2 linked regions of the Oryzias latipes genome follow. The protein of the gene in region 1 interacts with the protein of each later gene in a biochemical or structural test. Links are inferred from orthologs where the notes say so. Each region holds a gene or a part of one and is shown on either strand. Other genes may lie near its edges. The genes, in order: ibtk and btk.

Region 1 (6,902 bases):
ATGGTTCCTTTCTAACATCTTTTTCGGTTCCTGCAGACTGGATGGCGTCAGGTATGAAAATGGAAGGATTTCTGTTGTGCAGAAGAAGAGCGGCAGTAAACCTAAATTCTACCAGAAAAAAGGGTGTGTTGATGAATTATTAGTGGTTTTTGGTTCGTTTTTATCTTAAGACATCTGTTGACATAATTTTGTGTGTCTCTGTTTGCAGCTCTTATCTGTGTGATGTCACTCTGAAATCTGAAGATGGGAAGGAGTTTCCATGTCACAAATCTGTTCTCTGTGCACGACTTGGTAGAATCCATAAGAAAGCCTTTTTTATTCATATCATAAATGTGACAATTATTTCAGTTTTCTTCTAACATAGTTACATCACTAAAATATTACCGTATATATTTTTGACCAAATGAGTAGATTTTTATTTGTATTTTCTGGCATACAGTACAGACCAAAAGTTTAGACAAATCTTCTCATTCAAAGAGTTTTCTTTGTTTTCATTGTAGATTCACACTAAAGGCATCAAAACTATGAATTAACACATGTGGAATTATATACATAAAGTATGAAACAACTGAAATTATGTCATATTGTAGGTTCTTCATAGTAGCCACCATTTGCTTTGATTACTGCTTTGCACACTCTTGGCATTCTCTTCAAGTCACCTGAAATGGTCTCCACCAGTCTTAAAGGAGTTCCCAGAGATGCTTAGCACTTGTTGGCCCTTTTGCCTTCACTCTGCGGTCCAGCTCACCCCAAACCATCTCCATTGGGTTCAGGTCCGGTGACTGTGGAGGCCAGGTCATCTGGCGCAGCCCCCCATCACTCTCCTTCTTGGTCAAATAGCTCTTACACAGCCTGGAGGTCTGTTTGGGGTCATTGTCCTGTTGAAAAATAAATGATGGTCCAGCAAAATGGTGTGGTAGCCATGCTGGTTCAGTACGCCTTCAATTTGGAATAAATCCCCAACAGTGTCACCAGCAAAGCACCCCCACACCATCACACCTCCTCCTCCATGCTTCACGGTGGGAACCAGGCATGTAGAGTCCATCCGTTCACCTTTTCTGCATCACACAAAGACACGGTGGTTGGAACTAAAAATCTCTAATTTGGACTCATCAGACCAAAGCACAGATTTCCACTGGTCTCATGTCCATTCCTTGTGTTCTTTAGCCCAAACAAGTCTCTTCTGCTTGTTGCCTTTCTTTAGCAGTGGTTTCCTAGCAGATATTCTACCATGCAGGCCTGATTCACACAGTCTCCTTGTAACAGTTGTTGTAGAGATGTGTCTGCTGCTAGAACTCTGTGTGCCATTGACCTGCTCTCTAATCTGAGCTGCTGTTAACCTGCCATTTCTGAGGCTGGTGACTCGGATGAACTTATCCTCTGCAGCAGAGGTGACTCTTGGTCTTCCTTTCCTGGGGCGGTCCGCATGTGAGCCAGTTTCTTTGTAGCGCTTGATGGTTTTTGTGACTGCCCTTGGACACACTTTCAAAGCTTTTCCAATTTTCGGACTGACTGACCTTCATTTCTTAAAGTAATGATGGTCACTCGTTTTTCTGTACTTAGCTGCTTTTTTCTTGCCATGATACAAATTTCAGTTGACTACCACTTGAAGCTCATCAGGAGAATGCCAAGAGTGTGCAAAGCAGTAATCAAAGCAAAAGCTACTTTGAAGAACCTACAATATGAAATATTTTCAGTTGTTTTACACTTTTTTGTTATATATATAATTCCACATGTGTTAATTCACAGTTTTGATGCCTTCATTGTGAATCTACAATTTTCATAGTCATGAAAATAATGAGAATGAGAAGGTGTGTCCAAATGTTTGGTCTGTAGTGTATTTGTTACATTTTTGAAACCATTTGAATCTTTTGAAACCGTGACGGAACGAGCTTGTGTTTTCTGCAGAATACTTCAGCAGTATGCTTGGGAGCTCATGGATCGAGGTAGGCTCATGTTTTTACCGCTGCATTCCAAGCCTGTTGCCATTGTCGGCATTTTCTGCTTCATACTCGGTTGCACCTCTGTCACCTTTCAGGCAACTTCCTGCTCAGCACTGGAAATGCCGACCACCTCTGAGATTTTGCAGGTCATTCTCGAGTACATTTACACTGACGAGTCCTCCACCATTAAAGGTAAAGTCCCATTTTGAAATTCCAGGTGATCATTTGTCATTTGGGATAGTTAAGAGTTTTTCCCGCCTTCCCCAACAGAGTGTCAGAATGTGGAGTTTGTGTGCAACGTGCTGGTGGTTGCTGACCAGCTGCTCATCACGAGGCTGAAGGAGATGTGTGAGGTTGTCATCACAGAGAACTGTATGTTGTATTCATCTTTTCCTCCTCCGACTGATACCGCTTTGCTCTTGGTGTGAATGGAATATGTCCTTTTAGTGGAGAAACTGAATGGATTTGAAGATGAAAAGCAGCAGACTGAATATATTCACAAGCTTTTAAAGAACCACACCAATGAAAATCGTGTTTTTGGTGGGTTTTTTCCATATTTTTTCTTTTTTTCTCATGATGGAGGACATATTTAAAGGATTTAAGATCAAACTTGCTTTTCTGAGTATTTCTTTATTTGAATCGTTGCAGATGAAAAATAAGTTGCTTGAAAAATCTCCCAGTTGTGACGTAGAAACTGAAACGGACGGGCCAGAGGCTCCTATTCTGATGCATCTACTTGCAGACAAATAGTTCCATGTACATCTTTATTTTCCCCATCTGACCTTGAGTCTGGATGAAAACTGTCTGGCTGGATAGCTCCTATATTGCTCGCCATTTTTTTTCCACTGTTAATGTTAGCTTGGGGTTGTTAGGGGCTGTAAGCTAGCAGGACATTGTGTTAACAAAGGCATGCTGTGAAATCAGCGGAGGTTCCTGAGCCAACAGTCTTGTCCACAATTCAGTGGCGATTTTCTAATGGACTGCTGCCGCTCTGCAGAAACTTTGTCTTAAAAAGTGACAGGTATTTTGATTGTGCCTAAAAATAACAGAATCCTAATTAAAATACAACTGGGAACACTTTAAAAAATAGCTCAAAATACGATTGGAGTGGGACTTTAAATGCAAACAGATTTAATCTTCTTACTAAATCTCTCACGGGTGACATGAGCATCGTTTGTAAAACCAATCTGTGTGAAAGTAAAGAGAGAATCCCTGATTCCCTTTGACATGTGTCTATGTTTTTTTATTTCTTTTTCCAGTGACCTTAAAGAATGCTGCAGAGCTGCTGGAGTTTGCCACCATGTACAACGCAGAGCAGCTCAAACTATCCTGTCTCCAGTTCATCGCTCTCAACATGGCTGCTCTGCTGGAGTCAAAGTGAGAACCAGACGGCATTTCATCGACAGGAAGGCCAGCCCAGCTGCAGCGTGTGTGAATGGAGTCTGATGGGAATGAATCGGCAGAGTCCAGCGCAGGAAGCATTTTACTTTAGCTGCTTCCCACTTTAGACCACTTCCATCTTAAGTTATAAACAAAGCAGCTCAGAAAGGAGCTTCAGGTTTTCTGAACGACTGTGAGACTGGAAGCAGGAGAAGTTTGGTGTGAGATGCAAAGCTGCAGGAGGCAGAGTTTAGCTGCACTTTGCTTTTTCTTTTACTTCTGTTATCGGCTTTTAAGCAAAATTTACTGAACTGAAAAACTTTATTTAGCAATAATAGAAAGAGAAACTTTATTATCTATAAGACTGTAAATGCATAACTAGTTGATAAACAAACTTGATTCTCTCTTCTTAATGATAAAATGGGAACAGCAATGTTCCTTAACGAAAAGCCCCAAATCACCTAAACTCTTTCAAAATCGAATATGTTTAAAATCTGGATTCTTCTCTATTTTTTCTTTTCTTTATCATTTAGAGCTCTGGATGTTCTCAGTGACGAGGTCCTAGTGGAGCTTTCTGCAGCCTACAGGAGGCTGGTGAGTCATATCTGAATAATAATGACATAATCGGAATACGCGACCCGCGTTTGATGTCAACAGACAATTGATTTTTAATGAAGCTTGCGGAGGGAGGGGGGAATCCGCGGCACACACCTGTGCAGAACCGGGGCTGGTGATCCGTACGGATCAGCCACGCACCCCTAGTAGCTTCCCGTGGGATCCGGTGTCAGAGCGCTTAAGGAGTGAATAAAATAACAAGGCTCAGAGATGTGAGTCAGTTCAGCATCAGCTGCATTTCACTGCAACTCCCATGATGCATTGGGTTCACGTGACAGCATCTCTTACTGCGCTGCTGTGAAAGCCAGCATCTGTTCTAACAGTCTGCAAATCTTGATGAAAGCAGGAAAATAGTCCAGTTCTCCTTCAAGGTTTGTGGTTGAAAACAAAGGAGTTAAAATCAGAGATTCCAGTGTTTTTGGCCCAAGTCATCTTTATAAAAGAAAGAACTGCTTTCTAATATCGTCTGTCTTGAAGAACAAATTCACTTTCAGACTTTATTCACCTTTGAAAAACCTGAATTTAAGTTTAAATATAAGAAAAAAAATAAAGTGAAGTGTTCAACGGACACATTTAAACTAAACTGAAACAATTGAGTCATCCCAAAATTTAAACGTAACTAACTAAATTTTGACAAATTTAGTTAAGTCGTTATTGGAAACCATTGGAACCTTTAGGAAAAACAGCTGCAACTTCAGATCTTTTTGTGCTTTAATTATTACAAAAAATGCACGCGAGGTCATGCAGAGACCGGACATCAATAGTGACTATTGATTATTCACCTTTTTTGTTGCTGGTGTGCCGCAGGATTTTTGTCAGGGAAAAAGTGTGCCTTGGCTCAAAAAAAGGTGGAGAAACACCGGTGTAGAGGATGAAACTCCCACCCAGATGCTTTCAAAACTTTCAAGTGCTGTGGATTCAGTTTCCCAGAGTTGTGGTTCTGGTTCTAGATCCCAGCGATGCAGAAGCGAGTCATCACTCCCTATCCTGATGCTCCAGACCTCAGCCTGTATGAGGAGGAGGATTTGGACTCTGCCTTCGGTACCAAGCCGGAGACAGAATTGGATCTGTCATGCAGGTACGACCTATTTTCTACAAAGCTGAAAAGGATTTATTTCTTTATGGATGTGGAAGATTCTCCACTTAAACAGCAGAGTAAAATACTGGAGACGTCTCTGCTTACAACCTGGAAAACACAAAGCACTAATGAATGAACTGCAGAATCTCTATTTTAGGGGGATGCTGTTGTAGTGGCTGGTTTCAGGAAACAAAGCAGATGCATCAGACTGTTGATAAATGTGTTGTGATAAAACCTGCAAAGGGAAATCGGTACCAATGTATGTTTTGTCTCCTCGTTTTCAGGGAAATCGTGTTAAAAAAGGCCAAAATAAAAGCCAAAAAGAAACCAAGGCGGCGCTCTGACAGTTCAGGAGGTTACACCCTTTCTGATATCATCCACAGCCCTCCTGCTGCGGGTAAAGTCCCACACAGGGAAGCTAGTAGGTAAATAAAAGCTCACAACTTGACGGTCGTGCTGTCCCTTTGAGGCAGTTGTGTCTCCACTCTTGGTGAAGTCGGCCAAGGCCAACTCGACAGAGTCCCTGCAGGAGCTCCTGACGTCAGACTCGGACGGCAGCTGCATGGGAGCAGGCAGTCCCAGAGACATGCAGTCACCTGTCTTTGATATCCGGACGGAGGTCATTTTCACCTTTGATTTATTTTCTCTGCTCACATCTACAACAGTTGTAGGATATCACCTTAAAATTAGTAGTAATTATTTAACTAGTTGCATTGTTAAATCAACTCAGTGCTTTCCTGTCACAACTAAGACTTTCAAGACTGTATGTTGCAGGAGGAGGGGGCTCTCTCCCAGACGCCCACAACACCAACTTCCACCAACAGTTTTCAGACCCCCCCTAACTCCTGTCAACAAATCAGCATCAAGGGTTTTTTCAGGTAAAAACTTGAAAGTCGATCACACCGTGACACTGTCTCAGGTTTACTAGTAACTTTTGTCTCAGATGAATGTTTTTAACATGTTCTTGTGGTATTTTTCTTATAATGGAGGACATGTATAGCAAAAATTAAGCCTATAATTTGCATTTCTTAGTATTTCTTTACTCAAATAGTTACTAATCATAAGCAGACAAAAAAAGGCAGTTTGAAAAAGTGATCGTATAAGTAAAAAAATAGGATGGGAGGACCACAAGCTCCTTGCTCCGCTCTATTCTGATGCACCCACTTGCAGACAAATAGATCCATGCAAGTCTTTGTTTTCCTCGTCTGGCCTTTTTTTGGATTTAAAAACAAATCTTAAATGGTTTATTTTAAGCAATCAAAGCAAGAACAACGCACAAAACAATATAATCAGCAGTTATAAATTCATACAAAGACGTATCAACTTGGGATAATCAGACATTAAATTAAAGATTGGTTGAAAGGAAGTGGAAGGAAGCAACACTAGCTGGAGCTGGAATCTGACTCAAGACCGACTGACAGCTCAAAAACTGCTCTCCATTTTTGTTGCACCGCTTATGTTAAGTTGGGTGTGTAAAAGGCTGTAAGCTAGCAGAAAAGCATGTAAAAAATGATTGGAGTGGGTATCTGATGTGGCACAGCATTGCCTTCACCTTACACTTTCTAACACTTTTATTCTAGATCAGGGGTGTCAAACTGATTTTCACTGAGGGCCACATCAGCATAGTGGCTGTCCTCAGAGGGTCAGATATAACTTATACATGTAAGAAAATGTAATGAAAAATAAATGTAACTACTCCTTAATGTTAGAACTCATTTATTTATTTATTATAACTTTTTAAAGTGACTGACTTTTGCATAGAAAACATATGTTTGCTTGTTATTCTAGCAGAAAACCTTTTACATTTTGTCTGCTTATTAAAACCTACGTAACTCCATTAATGAAGGATCAACCTGTCCAAGTGAATAAAGAAAAACAACATAAAA
Region 2 (6,113 bases), on another chromosome or scaffold:
ACTCCCAACCTTGTTTGAAACATAAAAAAACCAAACTGATATCTCTAAAAACAAACGTTACTGTGATTACACTAACTCCCAACTTAGTTAGTACAGTAACAGAAAAAAAAACACAGTCCGACACCGCTACACATTAGCAGCACTAGTGTGTATTCACAAAAACACCGTGTACCTCTAAAAATCCCTTTGACATCAGTAAACACAAGCAGAATGAATCCGCATATAAGGCGTTCTGGGTTTGAAAATAATTAAAGCAAATTTTAAGTGTGCCTTACAGTGCAGAAAATATAGTAATATTTGAATTTGTTTTGACAAATACCTAAAAAATATTCTACTAATTGCAATAAGAGATCTTGATTATATTTTACAGGAAAGAAGGCTACATACCAAGTAATTATGTTGCAGAAGCAGAGTCCGGCCTTGAAAGATTTCAGTGAGTACCACCTTTCTGCCCTGAAAATGGTTATGTTCTGTTTCTAAGACTTTCAAATGTTTAATTTAAAATGATAAATGTTTATGCGTTGTATCAGATTGGCACAGATGTATTTAATTGCCAATTTCATGAATTCTGGAGGTAAAAAGCAGTAAGAAAAAGACAGTTCTGTTGTTTTCGACAGTTGGTACTGCAAGAACATGAACCGCAGTCAAGCAGAACAGCTGTTAAAGTCTGAGGTAAATAAATGCTGCGACTACAGCATGTTTTTTTTGTTTCCTTCCGAACTAGAACCAGAACTTTTTTTCTGAAACTCTTAAAATGTTCACTTTCAGAACAAAGACGGCGGTTTCTTGGTGCGGGACTCAAGCAAAGCTGGGAAATACACCGTATCTTTATTTGCCAAGAGTGGCGCGTGAGTAAACTTGTGGAAACACTGCCACCATTTTTTTATGGTTGCTCCTTTGGCGTCAGTCATGTGTAAACTTATGAAAAGAAGAACTGTGCAAAATGAAAGCGGAAACGGCTGGTCGCAGAGAGAAAGATGTAAATCTTTTTATGCCAAATTTGGGCTAATCTTACTATTTAAGCTGATCTGTACTGTGGTTTACTCTGAGGATAAACTGTAATATAGTTACTGTCAAAGTCAAAGTCAAAGTTAGCTTTATTGTCAAATATTCTGCATACACAAGACATACAGCCCAGCACTGTGGGCACTCTCACCCCACAGTGCAAGCAGCACATAAAATAATAAAATAACAGTTATAAGAATAAGAAGATGTGGACACTAAGATACGATGTGGATGACTACCCTTCAGCTGGATCTGCTGGCACTCGATTTCACTTTTTTTTTTCTCTACAGGGAAACAGGTGGAAGCTGCAGACATTACAACATCTGCACAACCCCACAGGGCCAGTTTTATCTGTCAGAGAAGCACAACTTTGACACCATCCCAGAGCTCATCAACTATCATCAGCACAATGCCGCCGGTCAGTCCCGCCACGGCACAGATGGAGCCCTGTAGACCAGTATGCAAAACAGTATAAATAGAGCCAGCTCATGCTAACAGGAAATTACTCAACAGCGGGAAACCCTGAGAAACCTTTACCAAAATATCAGCAGAAATAAATAATCTTGACTAAAACTTCATTATGATTGCGATTAGAATTTTGAATTTCTTTTGAGTCCACTGACACCAGTTCATTCTATATGTTAACACCACAGACTGAAATGGGCTTAAAACAAAACAGCATGAAAAAACAAATTTTTGTAAAAAAAAAAAAAGAAGCAAATGAAGAAGACCACATTTTACATTAAAAGACTGCAGTGGTTAGTGGGAATATTAAATAAACCATCCTTGTGAACAAAACAAAAAAGACCACTGAATTATATATAAGAAGGCACAAGTTGAAAGCTGCATGATTGGGTATTGGACTTGATGAAAGTTACAAAACACATTAAAAAATGCAGATTTGGTTCGATAATGTGCCACGTTTCCTGCGGCGTTCCTTTTACCTATTTTTAAACCTAATGGCAGTACAGCAAACTACTGTCCTCCATGCATCTGTCACCGTTGCTATCAAACTGTCAACCTAAGTGAGGAGGTTTCAGCTGCTTTTCTTATCTCCAGGTATGGTTTGCAGGCTGAAGCATATTGTGTCTAATCGGGCGCGACCTCCGTCAACGGCAGGACTCGGCTATGGTAAGAGTATATCTGTAGCAGACTCTAAATCCTTTTTTTTTAACATTTGATGATGAATCAACTATTTATTTCTTTGCGAGCAATTTAAGTGCCAAAGATCCTCGGAGGGTTCGATTAGAGTTTAAGTTTAAGTTCTTGTGTGGGGGTAAAAAAGCCTGCAATCACAAAAGGACCTATTTAATCTGAACTTCTATTTCCTCCAGGCGTGTGGGAGATTGACCCCCACTACCTCACCTTCATCAAAGAGCTCGGCACGGGCCAGTTTGGAGTGGTGAAGTATGGGAAATGGCAGGGCCAGCACGACGTAGCCATCAAGATGATTAAAGAGGGCTCCATGTCAGAAGATGATTTCATTGAGGAAGCCAAAATCATGATGTAAGCACAGCTAAACCCCGTCAAGGAACATCCAGGTGGTGAATGTAGTTTTCAAAACCTCTGAGAAAAACCAAATGAACTTCCTTCTCTTTTTGCTCAAACCAGGAAGCTTCGCCATGAGAACCTGGTGCAGCTGTACGGTGTCTGCACCAAGCAGAGACCTATTTATATCGTGACTGAGTTTCTTGCAAATGGGTGTCTGCTGACATATCTCAAGGAAGGCCTGATCCAGCACCCAACTGCCGACCAGCTCTTGGAGATGTGTAAGGATGTATCTGAGGGCATGGCCTACCTCGAGTCACAGCAGTATATCCACAGAGACCTGGTGAGAGACAAAGATCTACTGTTTCTGAGTGGAAAAAAAAAACACCTAGCAGCATTCCCACACTGTGTCAAGATAACCAGCAGTTTGAGTTTACAAGATAACACTGCTACATTTAATGATTATCCTTGAATCAAGGGCACTGTTTTATCTGCAGGCTGCCAGGAACTGCTTAGTAGATGCAAATGGCACAGTCAAAGTGACTGACTTTGGTCTATCAAGGTAAAACCCTTCCTGGTTTCTGATGCACAAACGGGACACGAGTCAAAGCAAAAACAATGAAACCCCTTTTCAATGTCATCAGATACGTTTTAGATGATGAGTACACAAGTTCTGTTGGCTCAAAGTTCCCAGTTCGATGGTCTCCCCCTGAAGTCCTCCTCTACAGCAAATTCAGCAGCAAGTCAGACATCTGGGCTTACGGTGGGAGGTTTAACACAAACTGCTTATTAGTTCTTGGTCACTGTCGACTGAGCCACATTGTGCTATAACATGCTTACTGCTCGCTCTTTATCAGGGGTGCTGATGTGGGAGGTGTACACTTTGGGTAGACTTCCATATGAACGCCTCAACAACTCAGAAATTGTGGACCAGGTTTCACATGGCTTCCGTCTCTACCGCCCTCAGCTGGCCAACGAAAGAGTCTACAAAATTATGACAAGCTGCTGGCATGATGTAAGTGAGCCGTCGAATTTTATTTTAACTCCCGCAAAGAATTCGAAACGAAAAATCATTTCAGTATTATTAGAAATGTTGCTCTTTGCTTTACACTTAGAAACCAGACGAAAGGCCCACCTTTCAAGACCTGGTGCTGATTGTCCAGGATCTTCTGTATGAGCTCCAGTAGACCTCAGACCCACCTCCACAGCGCAGCATCTCTGTCTGTTCCTGGAAGATAAACACAATCATAAAAACTGTTACCAGTTTGAATACAGGGCTCAAAGACCATACAAATATCCTCTGTAATGTGAATATTTGACTGTCAAAATATCACAATTACTCACTTGCTTTTACATTTTATTTGTAAAAATGCATTCAGCTGGACTGTCCATATTTCCACTTATCTCTGACAACTATTATCTTTTCCTTTGAGTGTAAGTCTGTCTGGAATGTAGACAACATTTAGTTCGATTTGTTTTTTTAATGCAGTGTAAGCTTATGTTTTGCACAAATAAAGCCAAGTATGCTAGGCTTTCAAATGTTTGGGGTTTTGTGTTTAAAACGGTCTCTTTTGGTTTAATATTATCCAAATCTAAACATAACTTCACTGTTTACATTTTTGTATAACATGATGTTTTGCAGCAATTTTCATAAATTTTAAATATTGTTTATTTGAACATTTGCAGAATATAATGCAAAATTCAACATTTATAACAATACAAGAATAAAACGCAGTTCTAACTACAAAACAACATTGTTTTGATCTTTTGAAATTATTAACTATTGAGAACAAAATTATAAGTAATATAAATTTTTAGAGAAATTGGTGATCAATAATAACCAAATAAATCAATCACATACGGAAATAAATACGTAAATAAAAATAGAAATGCGTGAGTTAACTTGTGTCATACAAAAGACTTTGAGATGTTAACCGTTTTTTGAGCCTTTTTATTTATTGAAGCGGGATCAATTTGAATATTGCTACAGTTCAAATTTCAGTAAGAAGAATCCTGTTTTTTTGTTAGCAAATTTAATTTTGTGAATATGAAATTTAGCAATATATAAACGTTGACCGCTTACGTATGCGGCCCCACAAACGCGTTGTGTGATTGGCTGAATCACTTCCGGCTTCCCGTCGTTCATTCACACACGTGAAGGTCAGCAAACTCGGCAACATATTTCTATAATTAATATAAAGAATAGAGCTACAACAACATATTTGAAGAAACTATGGACGGGCAAGGAGCAACCGCTGACCCTCAGCTTCAACATTTCATCGAAATCGAGTCTCAGAAGCAGAGGTTTCAGCAGCTTGTGCATCAAATGACGGAGGTTTGCTGGGTAAGCAGAGCTTTTCGACAGCGCACCCGTTTGCATCTAAAACAGCAATAAAACAGAAGCAGGAAACGTTTGTGAAGTTTTGTTTAAAGGTTTATTTTAGATGTTGACCTTTGGTGTTTGTGTATAACCTAACGTGATCCCGCGTTTTAGGCAAATACCGGTCCGTTTGTGAACTCGGAGAGAACGTCATCGCCGTGCACGTTTTCCAGGTTCAGATGTTGTTTTGATAAAGCTTTATTGTTCTCTGCTTGTAACAAAAAGCCCCAAATAAAACAAGAGTTAATTTCTTGTGGAGAACATTGTTTATCTTATTTAACCGGAAGTGGACGTATATAAAAAAAAACAGGTATATGTCTTGAACTACCATTTAGACGTTGTTAGTCAAACGATATTTAATTACCATTGATATATTACTAATTTATAGTCATGTATATTGATTATATATGTATATCGATGTTAATTACGGTTTAATCAAGTATGTGACGTTCATCCCTGGCAATGGGGAGCTTATGGTTTACAGTTATGCCCATTAGTCAATAAATGGTCTGAATCCTTGCAGATATATTTATATAAAAGTTTTAAAATGATACTTGTTCCTATCAGATCCTTTGCTGTATGTCAAAAAGGTGTAGTACAATGTGTTTGTCCAGTAAAGGAAAAGTTGTGCATTTCTATTTTAGAAACAAAAAGGAAATCTAAATTTGTGTAACTATAGACTCTTAGATATTGGCACATTTCAGCTATTGGCCACAGCTGCAGGGGAAAACTATATCGGCCCACCCCTAGCTAGGATGGTTCGAGGATTCTCGCAATACTAGGAAAGGACTGTCCTAAAATATATCTTATTTTGAATTGGTCACTCTGATGAGAACTGTGTTTTTAACACGTTCTTGTGGTGTTTTTCTGATGACAATGGAAAACCATAAAGGAAAATTTATTAAGCTTGAAATTGCATTTTTGAGTGTTTTTTTTTTTTTTAATCATTGGGAATCTGGAGCAAACAAAAAATTGCAGTTGGAAAAAGCTTGTATTTGTGACATAGAAGCTACAATCGGCAAGCTAGAATTATACTCTATTTTGATGCATCCACCTGTAGACGGCTAGTTCCATATGTTGATGACTTCATGTTGTTGGTGTCTTACACTTTTTTGCTTTAAAAGCTGACATTAATCCATTCAAATGCAATAATGGTCATTACGACCTATCAGCCCAAGCTAAAACATCGTTTTCAGTCATAAAATAAAAAATTGTGTTCCGTAACAATCCCTACAATTGT

Evidence for each region.
Region 2: the proteins of ibtk (region 1) and btk form a complex in vitro, tested with the Homo sapiens proteins (2 studies listed by BioGRID). The link is inferred for Oryzias latipes from reciprocal best matches to the Homo sapiens genes IBTK and BTK.

Annotation. Positions count from the first base shown.
Region 1 is NC_019874.2:4,294,197-4,301,098, reverse strand, and holds part of ibtk (inhibitor of Bruton tyrosine kinase), read left to right. Parts: intron 1-36; coding exon 37-123; intron 124-208; coding exon 209-291; intron 292-1,908; coding exon 1,909-1,946; intron 1,947-2,038; coding exon 2,039-2,135; intron 2,136-2,213; coding exon 2,214-2,315; intron 2,316-3,202; coding exon 3,203-3,320; intron 3,321-3,856; coding exon 3,857-3,917; intron 3,918-4,888; coding exon 4,889-5,016; intron 5,017-5,300; coding exon 5,301-5,413; intron 5,414-5,489; coding exon 5,490-5,635; intron 5,636-5,790; coding exon 5,791-5,894; intron 5,895-6,902. UniProt on the Homo sapiens protein: Acts as an inhibitor of BTK tyrosine kinase activity, thereby playing a role in B-cell development. Down-regulates BTK kinase activity, leading to interference with BTK-mediated calcium mobilization and NF-kappa-B-driven transcription.
Region 2 is NC_019868.2:8,311,729-8,317,841, reverse strand, and holds the end of btk (tyrosine-protein kinase BTK), read left to right. Parts: intron 1-370; coding exon 371-433; intron 434-617; coding exon 618-672; intron 673-768; coding exon 769-848; intron 849-1,295; coding exon 1,296-1,423; intron 1,424-2,064; coding exon 2,065-2,136; intron 2,137-2,339; coding exon 2,340-2,511; intron 2,512-2,616; coding exon 2,617-2,836; intron 2,837-2,990; coding exon 2,991-3,055; intron 3,056-3,137; coding exon 3,138-3,256; intron 3,257-3,350; coding exon 3,351-3,508; intron 3,509-3,608; coding exon 3,609-3,680; 3' UTR 3,681-4,032; downstream 4,033-6,113. Other genes in the region: timm8a (mitochondrial import inner membrane translocase subunit Tim8 A), read left to right, coding at 4,727-4,837. UniProt on the Homo sapiens protein: Non-receptor tyrosine kinase indispensable for B lymphocyte development, differentiation and signaling. Binding of antigen to the B-cell antigen receptor (BCR) triggers signaling that ultimately leads to B-cell activation.